Kluyveromyces lactis: one gene and its partners. The protein of the gene in region 1 interacts with the protein of each later gene in a pairwise test. Links are inferred from orthologs where the notes say so. Each region holds a gene or a part of one and is shown on either strand. Other genes may lie near its edges.

Region 1 (3,784 bases):
TGATAATTTGCTGCTAAATGTGACTTCCGATTAAAGAGGTGAAGGTTAGAACATATCGAAAATATAGATATATATACATTGCATACTTTAAGTCTGAGTAAAAAAAAAAGCAAGGGCCCAATACTTGACCTTCATTTAATTCTCATAGTCCACTAAACGGTTACTATCGGATCTAACTGAATAGTTTTTATATTTAACTTACATAACGGAAAGAGTTGAACCTTTGCGTTATACCGTAAATCAATATACAAGATAAGAGAGATATCTCAATAGGGACTAAAAACATATGTTGGATCCAGTCCAAAACGATTTTAAATTTGCCTGAAATTTAATAAAAACTTTACATTATTGCAAACTAGGAAAAATCATTCTTGTTATCGACTAAACTTCATGAACAAGGACAGGCTTCGGTGATAACACGTTACATGATGTTGATATTATTAGTACTGAAATAGATCACATTATCTTACATTTCATTATCCTCATAAAACTGTTCGATAAGTTGGAAGTTGAAAGTTGAAAGTCATTAGTATAAAATTTGTTATCCTTAGTATTCATGTGCCGCTATCACATTCCCTACAAAACACCAGAGTCTTTTAAGCTGTTTTCTAAGATAGTTTCCTTGATTGCAGCAAACACTAGTTTGATATTTGAAGTATCAGTCGCTTGAGTGACGTGAGGATATATGTTGAGATTGGCCCTATTCAACTGAACAAATCTCCAAAGAATATATTTGGCAGCTTTATTGATGTCTTTGCCCCCAGTATAATCAGGGAAGTACTTTTCCAAAGGAACGTGACGAAGCTTTTCAGCGAAAATATCGATCTTATTCAAAAATAGAACCACCGAACTTCTTGCAAACCATCTACTGTTTACCACTGAGTCAAAAAGAATCAAAGATTCCTCCAATCTATTTTGTGAATTGTCTTCCAGAAGTGTTTGATCGTATTCGGATAAAGAGACACAAAAGATGATCAATGTCACGTTATCAAAGCAATGAATCCATTTCTTACGTTCTGACCGCTGTCCACCGACATCGAAGAAGTGTAGTTTCAAGTTCTTATCCAAATCTATCATAGTGTCGAAAATACCTGAAGTCTTTTTCCTTGTTCTGATAACATCAGTGATGGTGGGTATATATTTTGGTTCACTGATTCTGTCCAAGTTCTCGTAAAAGTAACTTGCGCTATCCATCAAATAGAAAGAAGATCTATGTTCACTCACGAGTAAGTCTTGAGTTGATTGGAGGTTCCATAGTATTTTAAGTGTCTTTGCTAGATCTGCTGGTAAACAAGGAAGTTTTGTAGGTTGATATTGTTGTGACAAAAGCTCATCTAGATCTGATTCTGATATTTCAGCATCTTCCTCCAACTGAACGTTGAAAGTTCTTCTAGCCTTGGCCAAATCTTTACCAGTTTCAATGATATTATCAAAGATGAAAGGTTTGTATTCCAGTAGCTCCTCTCTGCTGAAACCGTTTTGATGTAATATTTTCAACTGCTGCAAAACGGTAGATTTCCCACTTTCACCTGAACCCAATAATAATACTTTTAATGCATTTACTGTCTCAGATCCACCAGGAGATTGACCCCCTGAAGCATTCACTGTGCCATTCCGTTTTGCCAGATCAGTATCGAAACCATTTACTCCAGAATCGTTCAAAGCCAACGCCTGGCTGATCCCTGTCATAGTTCCAGAGTGGGTCTCTGAATTATTCGACTGATCAAATTGGTTAGACAAAGCCTTGTCACTATTAGTACTATTACCATTAACCCCATTTAAAACTCCGGTATTGATATTGTTGAAATATCTCTTGTTTTCGATATTACTATTATTACTGTCGTGAATGTTTTCGCTGTCATTATTATTATTACCATTTATATTATTACCAATGTTGTTATTATTATTGTTATTATTATCATTATTATTACTATTATTATTATTACCGTTATTTTTATTGTTTGCATTATCGTATTCAGCAGTATTACCTACGCCGTTACTTACAGTACCGTCTTCCGATACAGTACTGATTTTGGTCTTACCACTACTGCTATTATTAATATTCGAAGCAGCATTTACGATAGAACCTTTAGCCTTTTTATTCTTCTTGTCCTGCTTCTTGTCACCAGCTCCTTTCCTAACATCATTCCGCCTGTTAGCATCGTTTGCACCGGGACGATTCACTCTGGGACCCCCATCGTGAGTCGACTCCCGAGAATCCTTTGAGGCACATAAACCCATATCGTCAGCTAACCTTTTTCTTTTCCCAGCACGCTATGCAAATATGGTCGCTCAGCTTTCCTAAATTGGTTGGAAACTTAGTGATTTCTTAGACGTTCTATTTCAGAATATACCAACACCTGTTCTTAGAATTTTCCCTGTCCTTTTCCTTTCGTAAAGTTCTTTCAAATCAAACGTTATATGATTTTTCAATAATGTTAACCTGCTCAAAGAAACGAAAAAAATGGTGAAAACTGGTTTCTACGCTGGTTTGTGAAGGATACGCTGTGGTTAAAATGATGTGATATGCAATCGGTAGACCACTTTGTTGTCGGCTGTCAGACAGAAGTTGGTCGGTATTATATAGGGAGTATTTGAAATATAAGAAAGGGGAACTAGGAATTACTAAGATCCTTATTATTACGAGTTGTTTCAGCTGGAACTGTGCTCCCTTAAATACCATGCTCGTTATGTGGGTAGTTTGAACATGCAAAAAATTGCAAAATATTAATACCTCAGCTATCCATTCCAACTGATGGATTTTCCAAGTGGTTTTCCCTTCTCGTAGAAACTGAATATACACTCTTTACAATTGGGACTGACAAGCCTTTCGAAGAGATGTCAGTTTCTACATGGTGATTAGAAACTCGAGTGGAAAAACTTCTGGAGACACCCAGCATGATCACTGGAGAACAACATTTATGTAAAGAATAAACCTGTAGCCTCGGCTGAATGTACTGTATAGGAGAGAAGACCATTGGAATAGCTCCGTTTGTGTTACTATTAAGAGTAGCTGTAATTGACACATTGAGACAGGAACACTCGTTACCCGAATATTATAAATACATTTGTCACGTGATTTTGCTGGCATCTTCCACAGTATTCTCTCATAGACTTGTGTAAAATGAAGATGAGTAAGGCAGAGATCATCACTGGCTATGATATGGATGGCGGGACGTATTTGTCATATCGCTTATATATATAAAGAGCACCTGGCAAGGCCGATAATATACACAGGTTGTTTGCCACTTGGGATGAGTTTCTCACTTTGATATCGATTTGTGTTATTTGTGTTTTATAGAACTCCAGGTCCGGGACCAAGACTGATCAAGGGCTAAAAGAAGAAATAATACAGTTGATAAACAATGACTAAAGAAGTTGGTATGCTAGATGTCGGCACACACTGTTCGTTTTGTCGACAGACTGATTTCCTACCGTTCCATTGTTCTGCTTGCAACGGTGATTTTTGTGCCAACCATAGATTGAAGGAAGATCATCACTGTGAATCACTGAAGATAGGTAAGAATAGCCGCAGCAGTGTCACAGTTAGTATTCCTGCTGCTGCTGCTGCTGCTGTCACTCCGAAGAAGGACAATGGTGGTAGCTTCTTTCAATCTTTGTTACCTGCCAGAGCACCAGATCGGATAAAGACCATGATGCAAGAGGATAACTCGAAACCACCGGTAGATAACCTAAAATCGAAGCTTTTCAACAGTAAAACCTCCAGTTCTCGTGTAGCTATCGATAAACTACGGCATTTTTTCGCCAAGAACGGTAAATTATT
Region 2 (4,563 bases), on another chromosome or scaffold:
CAAGTTAACTCTTTATGTAGTTCCACAGTTTTACACTTATTAAACTTTGTTTGTAGAAGTTGTAAACTGTCATTATCGAAAGCATATCTGCTTGTATTCTTATCTTGAATTGCACTCAATCTACCACAATGAGAGTAACAATCATGCAGCATTCCTCGAGGCAAAAATTTGTCACTTTCACCGTGCCAGTATCCCATTGCTTCCACTGCTAGTGCAGCGTAGACTTCATCGTTGTACTCTAGTCTAACAATTTTATTATAATCACAGGACGCACTTAACTGCGATGGAATTTGAAACTTATCAACCACCACAACTTTATATTTGGAACGAGCCAATTGCACAGCAGTACTTAATCCAAATATACCCGCGCCAACAATGACAACATCATAATTGGACATTTCCGGTTCGCTGCCTGTCTAATGTGAGGAAAGCTGTATAGTTGAATATATTATCTATGTTCTTTCTTAACCGAAGTTCTTCTTTATAAAGACTTTGAAGTACAATGTAAAGTTGATGGCTCGAAAGATTTTGAATCATCGGACCTCGGAGCTGATAGGAACAGTTTACCAAGAAAAAAAAAAAAAACTTGAGATAGTAAACAAAGACAGTAAGGATAATAGTGTACATAAGAGGTAAATCAAGTAGAAGTACCATGTTATAGAGTGAAAGAGTTGTCGGCATTTCTGTCCTGTATCCAACAAGTTATAAAGGAAATAATAGAAGCAAGTTATGTTAAAACTTATGAGCTAGCAGGTACAAAAGGTGAATATGTGTGTGTGTGTGTGTGGATATTATAAACGGTATAAATGAATGGGAAGAGGACCAGGTAAAGCGTTGTTGAAAGAAATTTCAACGAGTAGAACTGAAAGAGAGGAACAGCCTGCTGTTCTTTGTTCTACGATCAGAAACTTAATCCATCTTGGAATGTATGATTGTGGGAGTTAGAGGTTTGAATCAGGTTTTGAGATGCATGTTCCGATGGATCTAAAAGACAATCTAAAACTCTTTGCTGTACTGCCCTCTCCAGCAGATTTCTTGGGATCTGTTCTTGTAGATCAAGTGAATCGTCTATTGCCATTTGATCTGATAGTGTAGGACCCGCTGGTCCATTCGAATGCATGTAATTACCTTTGTTTTTGTTAAGTGGTAATTTCTTAGCCATCATATCCTGATAATAGTTTAGAAGACTATCTGCATCATCTTCGTCTTCTCCTTGATTGGAGATCTTCATCTTATCAACGGCAACTTCATTGTTTTCATCTTTGTCGGTCGCTCTAATTTCATGTTCCAAGTTCTCATCAGTATCAAATTCGTCCAACACCTGAATCCTATAATTCTCATGGTCCATGTCAATCGAATCATGTTCATCGTCATCGTCATCAACATCCAGAGTTGGTGGGTTCATCTGATTTGTGGTGTCTTGATAAAGCTCTATTTTGTCATTTAATTCCTTAGAAATTTGATCAGATCCTGTCATAGTCTCCATGCTATCATCCAGCTCAATAGTGAATACCTCATTATCATTGTTGGCATGTCCTATGAGATTTATATCAGGAATACTGTTACCATTAGCGTTTGTAGAGCTATCTAGCCTCTCGTTGTGAGCATTTACCTGTTGTTCCTGCTGTTTTTTTTCTACAATTCCTTGATTCTTCTGGCTATTTGTATTCGTGTTAACACTAGTAAGGATTTTCTCATCATTGTTTGTATTTGGATTGATGTTAACGTGGTTTTTCTGCGTGGAAAATTTGAACCATGAGGCAACTCCTCCTCTTCGCGGTTGCTGTTGGCTTTTATCTGTTACACAATTCATTTGATTGTTCTTTTGAACCTTTGGTAACTTCTGTGGAGAGTTAAAACTAGGAACAATGCCCAATTCCGGGTTATGTGGTAGTCCAGAAAGAATACGACTCCATTGGTTTGATATTGATGGATTTGCTGCAAGTTTATTTGCCAAAGCTGTATTATCCTTATTTTTGGATGCGGTTCCGTTATTTGTCTTTGCCAAAGATGCTTCTCTCATCACGTATTCCTTGAAGTATGGCAATGCACATATTTCGTTTGCAGTAGCCCTTTCACTTGGATTCCACTTTAGGCAAGATGTAACCACATCATATAGATCTTCCAATTGTGGGTTTGGTAGAACATCCCTTATCGTTTTCCCTTCTACGTATGGGAATTCATAGTTCAAAGCTTGGTATAATGGTTTTGAATCCAGCCATGAACCCCCAAAGTGCTCCTTTCCATTGATAGAATGATCTGGGGAGCCCAATAAATCTAGAATCCTCCATATTTGATCGGTTTCGTCAGAACCGGGAAATAGTGGTGAAAAGGTGGCTAGTTCGACAACAACACAACCATACGCCCAAATATCCAACGGTTTGGAATAGTATCCTTTTCTAAGAAGAATTTCTGGTGACCTATACCAACGGGTCGACACATAGGTGGTATAAGGTGATCTGTTATTCACATGTCTTGCCAAACCGTAATCAGCCAATTTCACCACGTAATTATCCGAATAATTATCATCTTCCAACCATTTCTTGCTGAAGTACCTATGAGATGGCGATATCAAGATATTCTCCGGTTTGATATCTCTATGGAAAAAATCGTGATCATGAATATGTTTAATTCCTGCTAATATTTGGAATAATATCGACCTCAAAGTAGGTAGGGAAAACACTCTTCTTTTCCTATGTTTCATCAATTGATAAATGTTCTGCTCCATGCATTCCATTACAATGTGAAGGTGATACAAAGAATCATCAATGAACATCTCGTATATGGTAACCAAATTTTTGTGTGCAGGAATTTGCAATATGAATTTGATCTCTCTGACTCTTGTATAGTCATGCAATGTTGGTAATCTATTCATCATTGTTTTGATTGCCACTATACCCTTTTTCTTATAGTACCAGTTTTCTTGTTCGACGTTTCTGATAAGAGTTTGATCCATCAAAGTTTCTGGGTACATTGAGGAAATTTGGGTGGCTGAACTGTTCATATCGTACATTGTCTCGGCCAATGTCACAGATCCGAAGGATCCTTTCCCCAATTCCTGAATTACGTTATATCTAGCATCGATATTCTTGAGCGGAATATAGAATGGAGGGTTATTAACATCTGGGGGTATGAAGGAATCTGCTGTGGTCAAAGTTAAAGCTGGCATTTTGTTCTTCTTTGCTTTATTGAAGTAGTTGATTGACAAATATTCTAGTGAATTTTATTTTAAAATGTAACGATTAATCTTGTGTTTTAAGATTCAATTACGCGGTAATAAATTAGAAGCACTTTTTTTTTGGTTGATTTTATAACTAATCTTATGCTTTTTTTGTGTCGGCTTTTATTACAGGATTCCTAAAACTGACACCTATTGGAGTGTTTCGTTTTGTGTCTTCTGAGTGCCGTTTTTGCCTTTTTGTACCGCTCTCTTTATTCTAACTTTTTTAGAAAAAAAAAATTTATCGAATGTCTGAAATCTCTGAAATCTGACACCTTAGATAATGCTGTATAGGATAGAATCGAGAAAAATAGAAAAACAGAAAAACAATAATCCTGATATATTAACACTCTCTTAATATGCAGTTTCAAAATGAAACTCAAACAACGATAATACCTTTGATCTCAAAAAGTGAAAAGGCGATGCTGTGTCTAGTTGTTATATACTAAAACACTTTTTCAATGTAAAACTTCAAAACAGAACAACAGGAGCTTCAGTTAGCCACTATCGATCCTAGTAAAAGTAAGTGTGAAATTTGTTCCTTCTGCTGCAAATATGCATGTGGTTTCCTTCGTTCACAATTGATACATAACTTAAAAAGATACACATAACTGACAGCAATACGGTAATTAGAAGATGAGAACACAAAAAGATTCAAAATTAAAGGAGATCCTTTGAATAACGCATCCTTTATATATTCCACAAAAGAATTCCAACATGTCGGCGCCTAATTCTGGTGCAAAGGATGTATTCTTCTTTTCAGCAATAAAAAAAAAAATCCAGATCTACAAGCTGATAAGTGTTCCTGTACAAGGCGATAAATCCATGTATAGCGGTATAGGGGAGGGGTGAGTCTACGATAAGGGAAACTCAATATACAAACCATTAAAAATCTAATTTATTAATTGATTCTCCATATACTTTAAAATGATCGGATTGTACCCCTCCAAATATTACCGGGCACGAACAACTTCTAGAGAGTTAGATTAAGGGGAAGAAAGGTTCGGCAAGATTGGCTACGGGAATTAAACGGGACAGGATGGGAGCGGAAGATATGTACATACTAACCTATGTATTAATAGATCAATCGAATAATTTGGATATAAAGGGGTTAAGTACAGGCACATTTACCGAAAATGCAGCATTTGCCGAATTCTGCAGTGTAAGCGCCGAAAAGATTGGGGCCCACTAGAGATTCTGCTAAGAAGTACCGACAAAAATTTAAGTATACTAGTAATTTATATATGACCCAATATGGCGCACCTATTGCACGTCATGATGTGAGTGGTAAACATTGCGATCGCTTCTGACCATAGTTCTCCCTTCCCCACAGTTTGGCTACA
Region 3 (4,603 bases), on another chromosome or scaffold:
CTTCCAGCTCTTCCTTGCAAAAAACCATTAGCCCAATGGCTCCCAGGCAGTTTATGTCCACACATTTGAATGTTGTTTCCTCCGTATTTATTCGATTCAAGACCAGCTTTGAAAGACCTTCGAGATATTGAAAGCAAATATTGGAAAATGAACCCTGCCATATCGACATCAATTCTTGAAACCCTAATATATAGATATCATGGTGTGAAACATGGGGGATCAACTGCTCTAATATGGACTTCTGTGTATCTATGTCATCAAATGGGAACACCTTAGCACAATTGAATGAACTAGCAAATACTTTAAGTGTTCTCGACATCTTCAATGTCTTTATTTAAGAAGTGTACCCGTTAGGGAGATAGAATGTTAATAGGTGAAAAGACTCTCCCTTTGTATATCTTGAACCTTTAAATTTGAAGATTGCTGTGTTAATTATCATATTTTTACGGAAAATGCTAGAAAAGTTGATAGCCAATGATATAAATCTTAACAAGGACTAGCCTACCTAATTCGGTTGGTGCATTTTATGATAAACGATATATCAATCAACTGAAATTAAACTGAATATATATGGTACTTATGTTCAATGTGCATTACGAACTATGTTGGTGGTGGACCTTTCAAGAAGGATAATAAATCTAACTGTTCCTCTTTAGTGGACGATTGAGACTGGTTAGAGTTCGCACAAACGCCTGGCAAATTAGCATTCTTAGTAACATCAGCAAAGTTCATATTTGCCACATTGCCAAAATTGAGTGATCCTTGTAATGGTGTTTCGGTGATGGAGGAATGTTTACTAGGAGAAATGTCACTTGTTGGTTCCTTTTCCTTGGAACTGCTCGAAAGAAGGTAATTGGGTTTAAATAGAGAATTATTGTTGTTGCTCGTATTCTGGTCAATCGCGAATTGCAACCCTGGAATAATAAAGTCGTCATATCTGTTTTTCATCTTGAGATAACGATCTAATTCATCAAGGTCAATACCTTCTTGTAGAGGAAGTTTATGAAAGATTCTCCACATTAAAGGCACTTTGAATTTCCTCTTATATGGATCTATGCCGTTTTCACTACTTCCTGTCGATGAAGATAAACTTTGATGCAGTACAGGAAACAGCTTGAGCTTGTTGGTTGTAGACATTGACATTGTATTACTAGCATGATTTCCATAATACGAATCCCAATAATCTCTATCTAAGCAGTTGTCCTCGAAATTCAAATCAAGCCTCCATAATCCGATTACTGTTCTGTGGACATACCAGTATGTACGTTTCCATAACTGAGGTTTATATTTCCAGCATTCTTCTTTTACCCATCTTCCTCTATAGTACCATCCACGTCTTCCAAGTTCACTTTCGCACATACTTAAGATGTCTGCCTCACCGATTTCTCCCTTGAGCCTGTATTTACTGATTAGTTCTTTGAAATGAATTAAACCCCAAGAATATCTCCAAGGCTGCTCCCTGTACAGGAAAACCGCCACGTCAACAACACCATTCAACGGTTGCATGAACGTAGCAATGTAAGCCAACCATACAATAGGGCCATTGTAGATTTCGTAGCTGTACTGAGAACAGTCTACAATGAATGGGAAGAGCCAAAGTAATAAATAGGCCATAGGATACACAAATATCGATTTAAGTTGCCTCCTAATCTGATCCCTCCGATTTTTAAAATGCGCATACATTTCAGATTGGAACTTATGCTTTATGCCTGTGACATCTTTCCCTGGAAGATGTTCCATTTTTTCAATATCCACTTCTGTTCCCATCGCTTGGTTATCAACGGTATTTGTACTATGTTTCGACACATTGGGCACATCATTCGGAGAGGAAGAAGTTTGTAATGGGATGCTCGGAGGACATCTTGCAGAAGCATAGGAGTTAGCGGGTTGCCGAAACTGAGCAACTTGAGGTTTCGCTGGTGTAAGGCTGTCTGGTTTACGATTTTTGTTTAAATCTTCACTTCCGTCATGACTGGCAATCGGAAGATTAGAATATTCAAACAAATGTAAACCGTTATTACTATTATTATTGTATCCGTCTTCAATGTCAACCTCATCTGGGCTATACTCATATCTGTTAGATAGCCCTATATCCAAATCATTCACTGAAGGTAGGCCTGGCGTGCCAGCACGCTGTCGACCGCCCGCTGCTGATAAATTGTGTTTTTGGCTTTCAGTATCATCAAACAATTCGAGAAAGAAAAAGTTACGTAAAAACGAAACGAATCTCTTGAAACAATATTTTATTCCAATAGCAGAACCATTTATTACATTCAAAGCAATGTTAAGTGATGGCTTCCTGTTGAAAAAATTAACATGATTGTCTTCCGAGTGTTGGAATCCTTTGATTTCTGATTTGATCTTTCGACTTTCTCTGTTAACAAAGACGTAGATGCTGATGTATATTGTGCAAATCGTCAAGAAGATAAAATATCGAGGCACCCAGCTCAAGACTAGTTTATACCATATTGGAACTGGTGGTAAGTAACACCATGCGCTTAAAGGTTTATAACCCCCCATCTTTGCTTGGAATTCAAAATTGTAATTGTTATTGTCTAACACAACGTTGGTGTCAGCTTCGATGACATCTTCGTTATAACTGCTGAAATTAATGAAGGCTAGACTAGCTAACACGGTCGGTGTCAAAGCAGTGAATGGGTATATGAATTTTCTCCACTTGAAGAAGCCCCCTTCCAAATTCCCCGTGTTATTATTTCTCCATTTCCAGTTGGGCTTAAAGATAAGAATGGCGAAATGCAGCGCAAAGACAAAAATGGCAATATCTGCTCCCTCGATAGCATAAGCAGTGAGCCATCCTACAGTATTGTAGAATGCTGGGGTTCCATATATTTCATTGTGTCTTAATATTACCACTGGATAAATCAATAATACAATAGCTTTCAAAAAGTCACAAACTAAAAGGTAAAAAATTAAATGATGTCTGAACACTTTCCGTCGCCTATCTATCGATGTTAGTAGGTATAATCCTATTATACATGCGAAGATAGATGCCACAGAAGCAGAAATTGCGGATATCCTGAGCTTCCGAAGTTGCGGAGCGTTGAATGTTGAAAAAAGCCCTGGTAATCCCAATACCTGATTCACGGTCGTTGTATTCAGGTCCTTGAACGCAGCGATCCTGGCATAATGTGTGTAAGTAACCACCGTCGTGCTAGTTGGGTCTAAAAGATCCTCAATCATCGCGAGAGCAAACGTCTAATAGAACCAATACTTTAATATGTCTAGCAACTAGAAGTGCAGCCAGCGCACTCTTCGCAGCGGAAAAAGGATAAAAAAATAGGACTGAAGTTTGAAACTAATCAAGCAGATTAACAATGGCCAGCGATTGTTAACCTGTACTCAATACACAAGTTCTTGAACCTCAAGTATTGATCTACCTTGATGAACTTCTACTCTGTCGTTCAATTTCAAAAACTTTTGATGCTATAATTACGCTCTCAAGGCAACGTCTATGGAAAATTTCTATCTCCTTCTCTAGAATAAAGGTTCTCCAAATGTCAATAAACGTCAAACACTTGTCTAACTGCACAAATCTCGAACATATATATAATGCTCCAGTTCCTGCAATTATGGTAGTTGCCTGCTGTTTCTCGTTGCATGTCCAGTCCTTTGAATTGTCATGATTTGAAATTATTAACCATTTTCTTTTTTTTTTCTTATCGATATTATTCAACCAGAATAGCAGTGATGAAAATTTCAGGCACAGTCAATTATATGTAGGTTTATGGGAAAATGCACACCGGCATGTGGGAAAACGCCAAGGAGCTTCCTTGGGAAAGGTGGCCTGGATGCCAGTTTGTGATCAGGATTTTGAAGTAATTTGGAACTATCGGGTAATATGTTACACTGACTATGTGGAATTTCAACTTAAGTACGTATGTACATTTTCTATCTATGGTTAAGTAGTGCTATTGTAGGGGTTTTTTTATATAGCTAACGTCATGCGCTAGCAGGCTGGAAACTCATCGGTTGTAGGAACAAGCTCTACCTGGCAACAGCTTGTTGCACTGGTGGTATGCCTGATTATTTGGGTATCGGTTTAAGGTACGTCTACATTTCATTAAGTAGCTTGAAAAAATATACTATGATATAACCTGATGTATGTGTTTGATAATAATATGCGTTCAAGTTTTTCTAGCAGAAATGATGCGTGCTGATGTAGATACTACTCTCGAGTGTAAGCTCTGAGGGCCACAGGAAGCGATGACACCCTTGGTTTGCAAAGTTCTACCCTTTCCAAAGTCTAAGCGTTGATCCTCAAGTGCGTCAGTGTGAATTCCGCCAGCTTCTTCAAGAATAACATTTCCTGCAGCATGGTCCCAGATTTTCTCGGCATAGGACATTTTAATTGGTAAACGGAGGTAAAGATCGCCTAATCCAAGGGCAAGTAAACAGTACTTCACCTGAGAATCCAGATGTTGGGACTTAGTAATACCTAAATCTTTCTTGATGATAGCTTGTTCGTCGTGAGACGAATGTCCCTTTTCGACACCTTCTAGGGAAACCAGGTCAGAAGTATTTTCAACATCTCTGGTATGAATTTCCCTCCATTGTGATTCAGTGGTAATGGAATATTGAGCAC
Region 4 (4,757 bases), on another chromosome or scaffold:
GTTTAATGCAGAAATATCAGAAATATCATTATAAGAAAGATTGATTATCTTCAAGCTAGTGTTGAAGTTGAATAAAGGAAGCATCTCATTATTGAGATTGTTGTCAGCAGTATTGAGAAATAGTAATGATTTTGATAAAGGGGTATTTTCATAGTCCTCTAATCCGGGGTTGTAGCCAAGTAAATTAGAGGAGAAATTTAATGTTGTTAGCTCTAAATTTACAATTGAAATGGGTAATTCTCTAATATTATTACAATGTAAATCAAGTGATTTAAGATTGGAGAGTTCTCCTATTTCTTCCGGAATACTATCCAACTTGTTGTTGGCGGCAGAAAAATGAATTAGTTTTTTTGAGTACTTGATTTCCGCAGGTAAACTTGTTAAGTTATTGTCATTTAATTCAAGCTTCTCAAGCTTTTCTAAAGTTTTCAAAAAATCGATAGGTAAACTGGATAGTTTTGCCTTGTTTAGAGATAAACTTGTAAGGTTAGATAACACATTACCTCTATAGTCGAACGAAGTAACAGGATTTTCTGTCAAATCGCAGCTTCTTAGTTTAGGTAGTGAATCTTCCCAAACGGAAATTCTGTTTGAGGTTAAGAATAAATTCTGCAAATTTGGGGCGTTTGATTTGATAGTGGCAATTCTATTGTTTTTTAGATTGAGAGTCCGTAGGTTTGCCATACCTGACAAATCGGGAACAGCTTGAATTTTATTGTTGGATAGGTTCATCTTCGCCAACTTACTTAGTTCGTTGATGGAAAGTGGAAGTGAATTTATCTTATTGTATGAAAGATCAACCTGTAATAAGTTTGTACACCTATTGATAACTTCGGGGTACGCCGTAAATGCATTGGAGGAGATATCCAACAACTGCAAGTTCTTGAGATTCTTAAATCCAGATGGAAGTCTGTCTAACTGGTTACATTGAAGGTTCAAAATAGTAAGATTGGACAACTTGGAGATGGATTCCGGTACCCTTTTGATAAAGTTTCTCTCTAGGTCCAAGGAAACTAAATCATAAGCCTGTGTAATGTTGGCTGGGAACCTAGATGCCCTGACATTAACCATTCTCAAACTGGATAGCTTAACGGCACTTTCAATGAAATCGATAGGTAAAAAGATATTAGCGTTATTAGAAACATCCAAACTCTCGATTTCAGAAGTATGCTGATAAAAAATGATAGGAGGTGTAGTTAAGTCCATGTTTCTCAAGTCAACATGAATGAAGTCACCCTTCGAGAGCCTCTGTTGTTGTTCTATTGTTAATTGGGAAGTGGTCACCGGGTGGAATTTGAAACTAAAAACAAAGCTGACATCTTCGAGCCCCAAAATATGGAGCGGATCACTCTTCTTGTAACCATTCAATAGTAATAACTTGATCTGGATGAGGATTGGATTTGCAGTTGGTCGTAAAATCTTAGATAGTTTACCAACCTTCAACGACAACTGGAAATTCCCCTGTTGAATATTAAACTTTTTCTTTATTTGTGGTATAAGTTCGGCCACAGATGTATTTGGACGACATGAAAGGGTTGTGAAAGTATCATCGACATTGAAGATTCTAATAGCATATTTTTTGGTTTGGTCAATATCCGAAAGATCACTATAATACTTCTCAAGCATATGTTCTTCGTATTCGGTTTCTCCATCTAGTTCTGTATATTGTTCGATATTTTTTTGTGATAGAGGCGAACCTGGTCGAGATTGCGTCTTAGCAGAAGTTATATCGTCTAGGCTTTCTGATTGGGTTTCAATGGAAATGTCTGAGTCTTCGTCGCCGTTGGGAGAAATTGTGAAACAAAGATCGCATTCGGAGCTTTTCGTTTCTGATAAATGCAGTCCCGATTCGTCATTCGATCCTCTGTTAGGAGGAGAAGTGCGCGGTGACAATGCGTCTTCTTCAAAGTCATGATGGTGTACATGAGGAATTACTGGCTCCGAAGTATCTTTCGCAATGACATTTTTTGGAACAGACCCCTTGGTATGTTTTCCTTGTGATTTGCTGTACCTTTTGCGGTTTTTCCCTCTATGTCGATTGGCCTTTGACATCTTATGTCTTTCTTTAATTTTGTTAACATCAAGACCGACCGTCTCATCAACATCCCAGGATTCTGGAGCAGTCCATTGTTTCCGTAGCGCAAGTGTAGCATCCTTGGTATCTTGTGACGCATTAGGTGATTTTGGTGGAACTTTGTCCGTAGTTTCTGCGGAGGGTGCATTAGAAGTAACGACGACATCCGTCATATCAGAAAGTTTGTCTAAATCTAGGTCAACACCAAATATTTCTTTAGCGGCTGATAATTTAGAAGCATCAAATGAGGTCCCTGAATTTCTTCTTGACAGGTCTGTGTCAATACTTCTGCCTGCAGAACTTACTCCATGTTGTTGGTTCGAAACGCCACTTGTCGCATTCCCACCGCTTAAATTTGAACCATTGCTGGCTTCGTTACCTGAATGTAACAGGGAGCTGCCCTTAGACCCAGAGTGTTTCATATGAGGAGCATTTGCGGATGTCAAAGTAGACGCCGCAGACATGGTTGAAGAACCATGTATGAATGTGCTCATCTTTCTCCGCAAAGCGTTAGTGGGAACTTGCTGTTGCAGAGACTGTTGATGAAAGGGTGACTGCTGTTCACCATCTGAAGCCGACACTCTGCCACCTTGGCTTATTTGATTATCTGAATCTGGAGGCCCTCCTTGGCTTGCCAGAGATGATTTCCTGCTGGTAAGTTTCTTGAAGAAATTAGTTGCACGTGACGGTTTGGTAGTTCCTTTATGTCCATGTGAAGTAGCTGTTGATACTGACAGCGTACTGGAAGTGCGCGAAAGTAGCGGCAGGTTACCTCTTGATGAAGTTGCGGTCAGGTTTGCAGTCCGGGACCTTTCAAAAGTGGGTTTCACCGGTTTTGCCAAAGGTGGTTGAGGATTGTGCGCGAATGATCCAGCATCACGAACTATAGCAGAATGGAAACCCTTTTTCCCAGGTTTCACCTTCTTCGTAATTGCATCTATGGAATAGTCCTCTTTAAAAGTGGGCATACCAACGTCTTGCCATTCGCTATCGGTATCGCTTCGTGGTTGTAACTCCCTACCGCTATTTTTACTTGAGATACTGTTATTTGAAGAAGCACTGCCAGCACTGTTTCTTGCTCCCGAGGAGATGGAGCTTCGATTAGTTTCTTTCGGTTGTGGATTCATAGTTGACCTCTTCTTTCTCTCGCACTGTGGTTTGTCTTGAGTGGTTGAATTTACAAATGAATACAAGTACCCATAAACCAGCACTTAAGAATCCAAACAGGACAGATTATTATAAGGAAAATGATTATTATCCAACTTCTGACAAAGATTATGCCAAAATGAAGTGAGACTATAATCGATTGTGTTTTTGTCAACAGAAATTAAAATTACAAATTGCTGTTGAAGATATATTATTGTCTTTAATTACAAATAGTGTCAAATCAAAGTCTGATAAAAACCAGTGATTAACTAAGAACGCAAAATGATCAACGTACTTGGTTTTTTCAACACCAGCGTAAACACGATAACACAATTGAATCGTTGTAACACTATATTTCAATGAGCACTTGGGTTATGACAATACCAGAGTGAAGTAGGGTTTTACTATGCACCTGAATTTCCAATCTAGTGCATCAGTATGTCCGTATCAAACATTATATTTTGCACATTTTGTTATTTCACATTTTTTTCAGCTCTCCATCAATTCAGTGAGAAATTTTCGTTTCCAACGTGCAAAGTCTCCCCTTAACAAAAAGGGAAGCTTTGACATCATCATACGTGGAACGGTAATGCTGCAATGTGAGGGATCCAGCTGCTAGCTTTAATGAGACCTCATGTTCAAACTGAACCTACTGTCCGCTTTTCATTTTACTGCCCTAAGTTAAGGATGAAGAGTATAAGAGAGGTGATAGGAGATATAAAATTACCACGTGACTGATATTGCAAACTCAGCAATCAGTTGAAATTGAAAGCTGATCTGGTGGTTTTGATATTCTATACAATGTACCAACTTCTTATTTATCTCTAGGAGAACTCTATCGAGCCTGTAATTCAACTTCCAGCAGCTCTCCATATGGACTCTTCGTTCGAACATTTTTACCATATATGGCGGATTAGATAATCAATCGGACAAGTCACATGAGCATTATCCGGGTAATGAAATCAGACACTGAATGTTAAAAGTTCAAAAAGGTAACTACTGAGAAGCTTCTCACAGGATTTAGTAATACAACTAACATGTCGATGGTTTGTAAAGAATTGTAGGTAAGTTATTGAAACCAGCCCTTTAATCTGTCACCATTTAACCTGATACCTTTCAGTTCAATATCCAGACACATCCCAACAGCAAAACTCTATAGAAACAATGCCACAAGAGACCAACACTGCTCCAGTTAAGACAGAGACAGAGGCTACTAAGCCAAAGCCATGCTGTGTTTGCAAGCCAGAAAAGGAAGCTAGAGACGAATGTCTTCTATTTAATGGCCAAGAATCCGGTAAGTGCGATGAGTTGATCGCTAAGTATAAGACCTGTATGAAGGGATATGGCTTTGAAGTTTGAATCTAATGCGACAATGGCAGCTGACCCATTATGACGAAACTTTGCGAAGAGAAGAATATTTATACATATATCAATGTTTGGAAGGTTTGGAAGGTTTTCGACTACCCCATCCTCATTCCTGTAAATACTGCGATAACCAGAAATTCCAAATTCCAACTTTAGTATACCTACAACTATA

Evidence for each region.
Region 2: the proteins of GPA2 (region 1) and IME2 interact in a two-hybrid assay, tested with the Saccharomyces cerevisiae proteins (2 studies listed by BioGRID). The link is inferred for Kluyveromyces lactis from reciprocal best matches to the Saccharomyces cerevisiae genes GPA2 and IME2.
Region 3: the proteins of GPA2 (region 1) and GPR1 interact in a two-hybrid assay, tested with the Saccharomyces cerevisiae proteins (4 studies listed by BioGRID). The link is inferred for Kluyveromyces lactis from reciprocal best matches to the Saccharomyces cerevisiae genes GPA2 and GPR1.
Region 4: the proteins of GPA2 (region 1) and CYR1 interact in binary tests that used the Saccharomyces cerevisiae proteins (3 or more experiments, as listed by UniProt). The link is inferred for Kluyveromyces lactis from reciprocal best matches to the Saccharomyces cerevisiae genes GPA2 and CYR1.

The regions. Positions count from the first base shown.
Region 1 is NC_006040.1:933,498-937,281, forward strand, and holds GPA2 (guanine nucleotide-binding protein subunit alpha), read right to left. Parts: upstream 2,242-3,784; coding exon 577-2,241; downstream 1-576. Other genes in the region: CUZ1 (Cuz1p), read left to right, coding at 3,366-3,784. UniProt on the Saccharomyces cerevisiae protein: Alpha subunit of the heterotrimeric guanine nucleotide-binding protein (G protein) involved in glucose-induced cAMP signaling.
Region 2 is NC_006042.1:262,935-267,497, reverse strand, and holds IME2 (protein kinase IME2), read right to left. Parts: upstream 3,170-4,563; coding exon 902-3,169; downstream 1-901. Other genes in the region: KLLA0_F02860g (NAD(P)/FAD-dependent oxidoreductase), read right to left, coding at 1-398. UniProt on the Saccharomyces cerevisiae protein: Protein kinase which is essential for the initiation of meiosis and sporulation.
Region 3 is NC_006042.1:2,300,449-2,305,051, reverse strand, and holds GPR1 (Gpr1p), read right to left. Parts: upstream 3,202-4,603; coding exon 601-3,201; downstream 1-600. Other genes in the region: phosphoinositide 5-phosphatase INP54, read right to left, coding at 1-319; MET22 (3'(2'),5'-bisphosphate nucleotidase), read right to left, coding at 4,146-4,603. UniProt on the Saccharomyces cerevisiae protein: Seems to associate with GPA2 and act as G protein-coupled receptor that senses glucose and controls filamentous growth.
Region 4 is NC_006042.1:1,446,193-1,450,949, reverse strand, and holds the start of CYR1 (adenylate cyclase), read right to left. Parts: upstream 3,202-4,757; coding exon 1-3,201. Other genes in the region: copper metallochaperone COX17, read left to right, coding at 3,627-3,656, 4,418-4,579.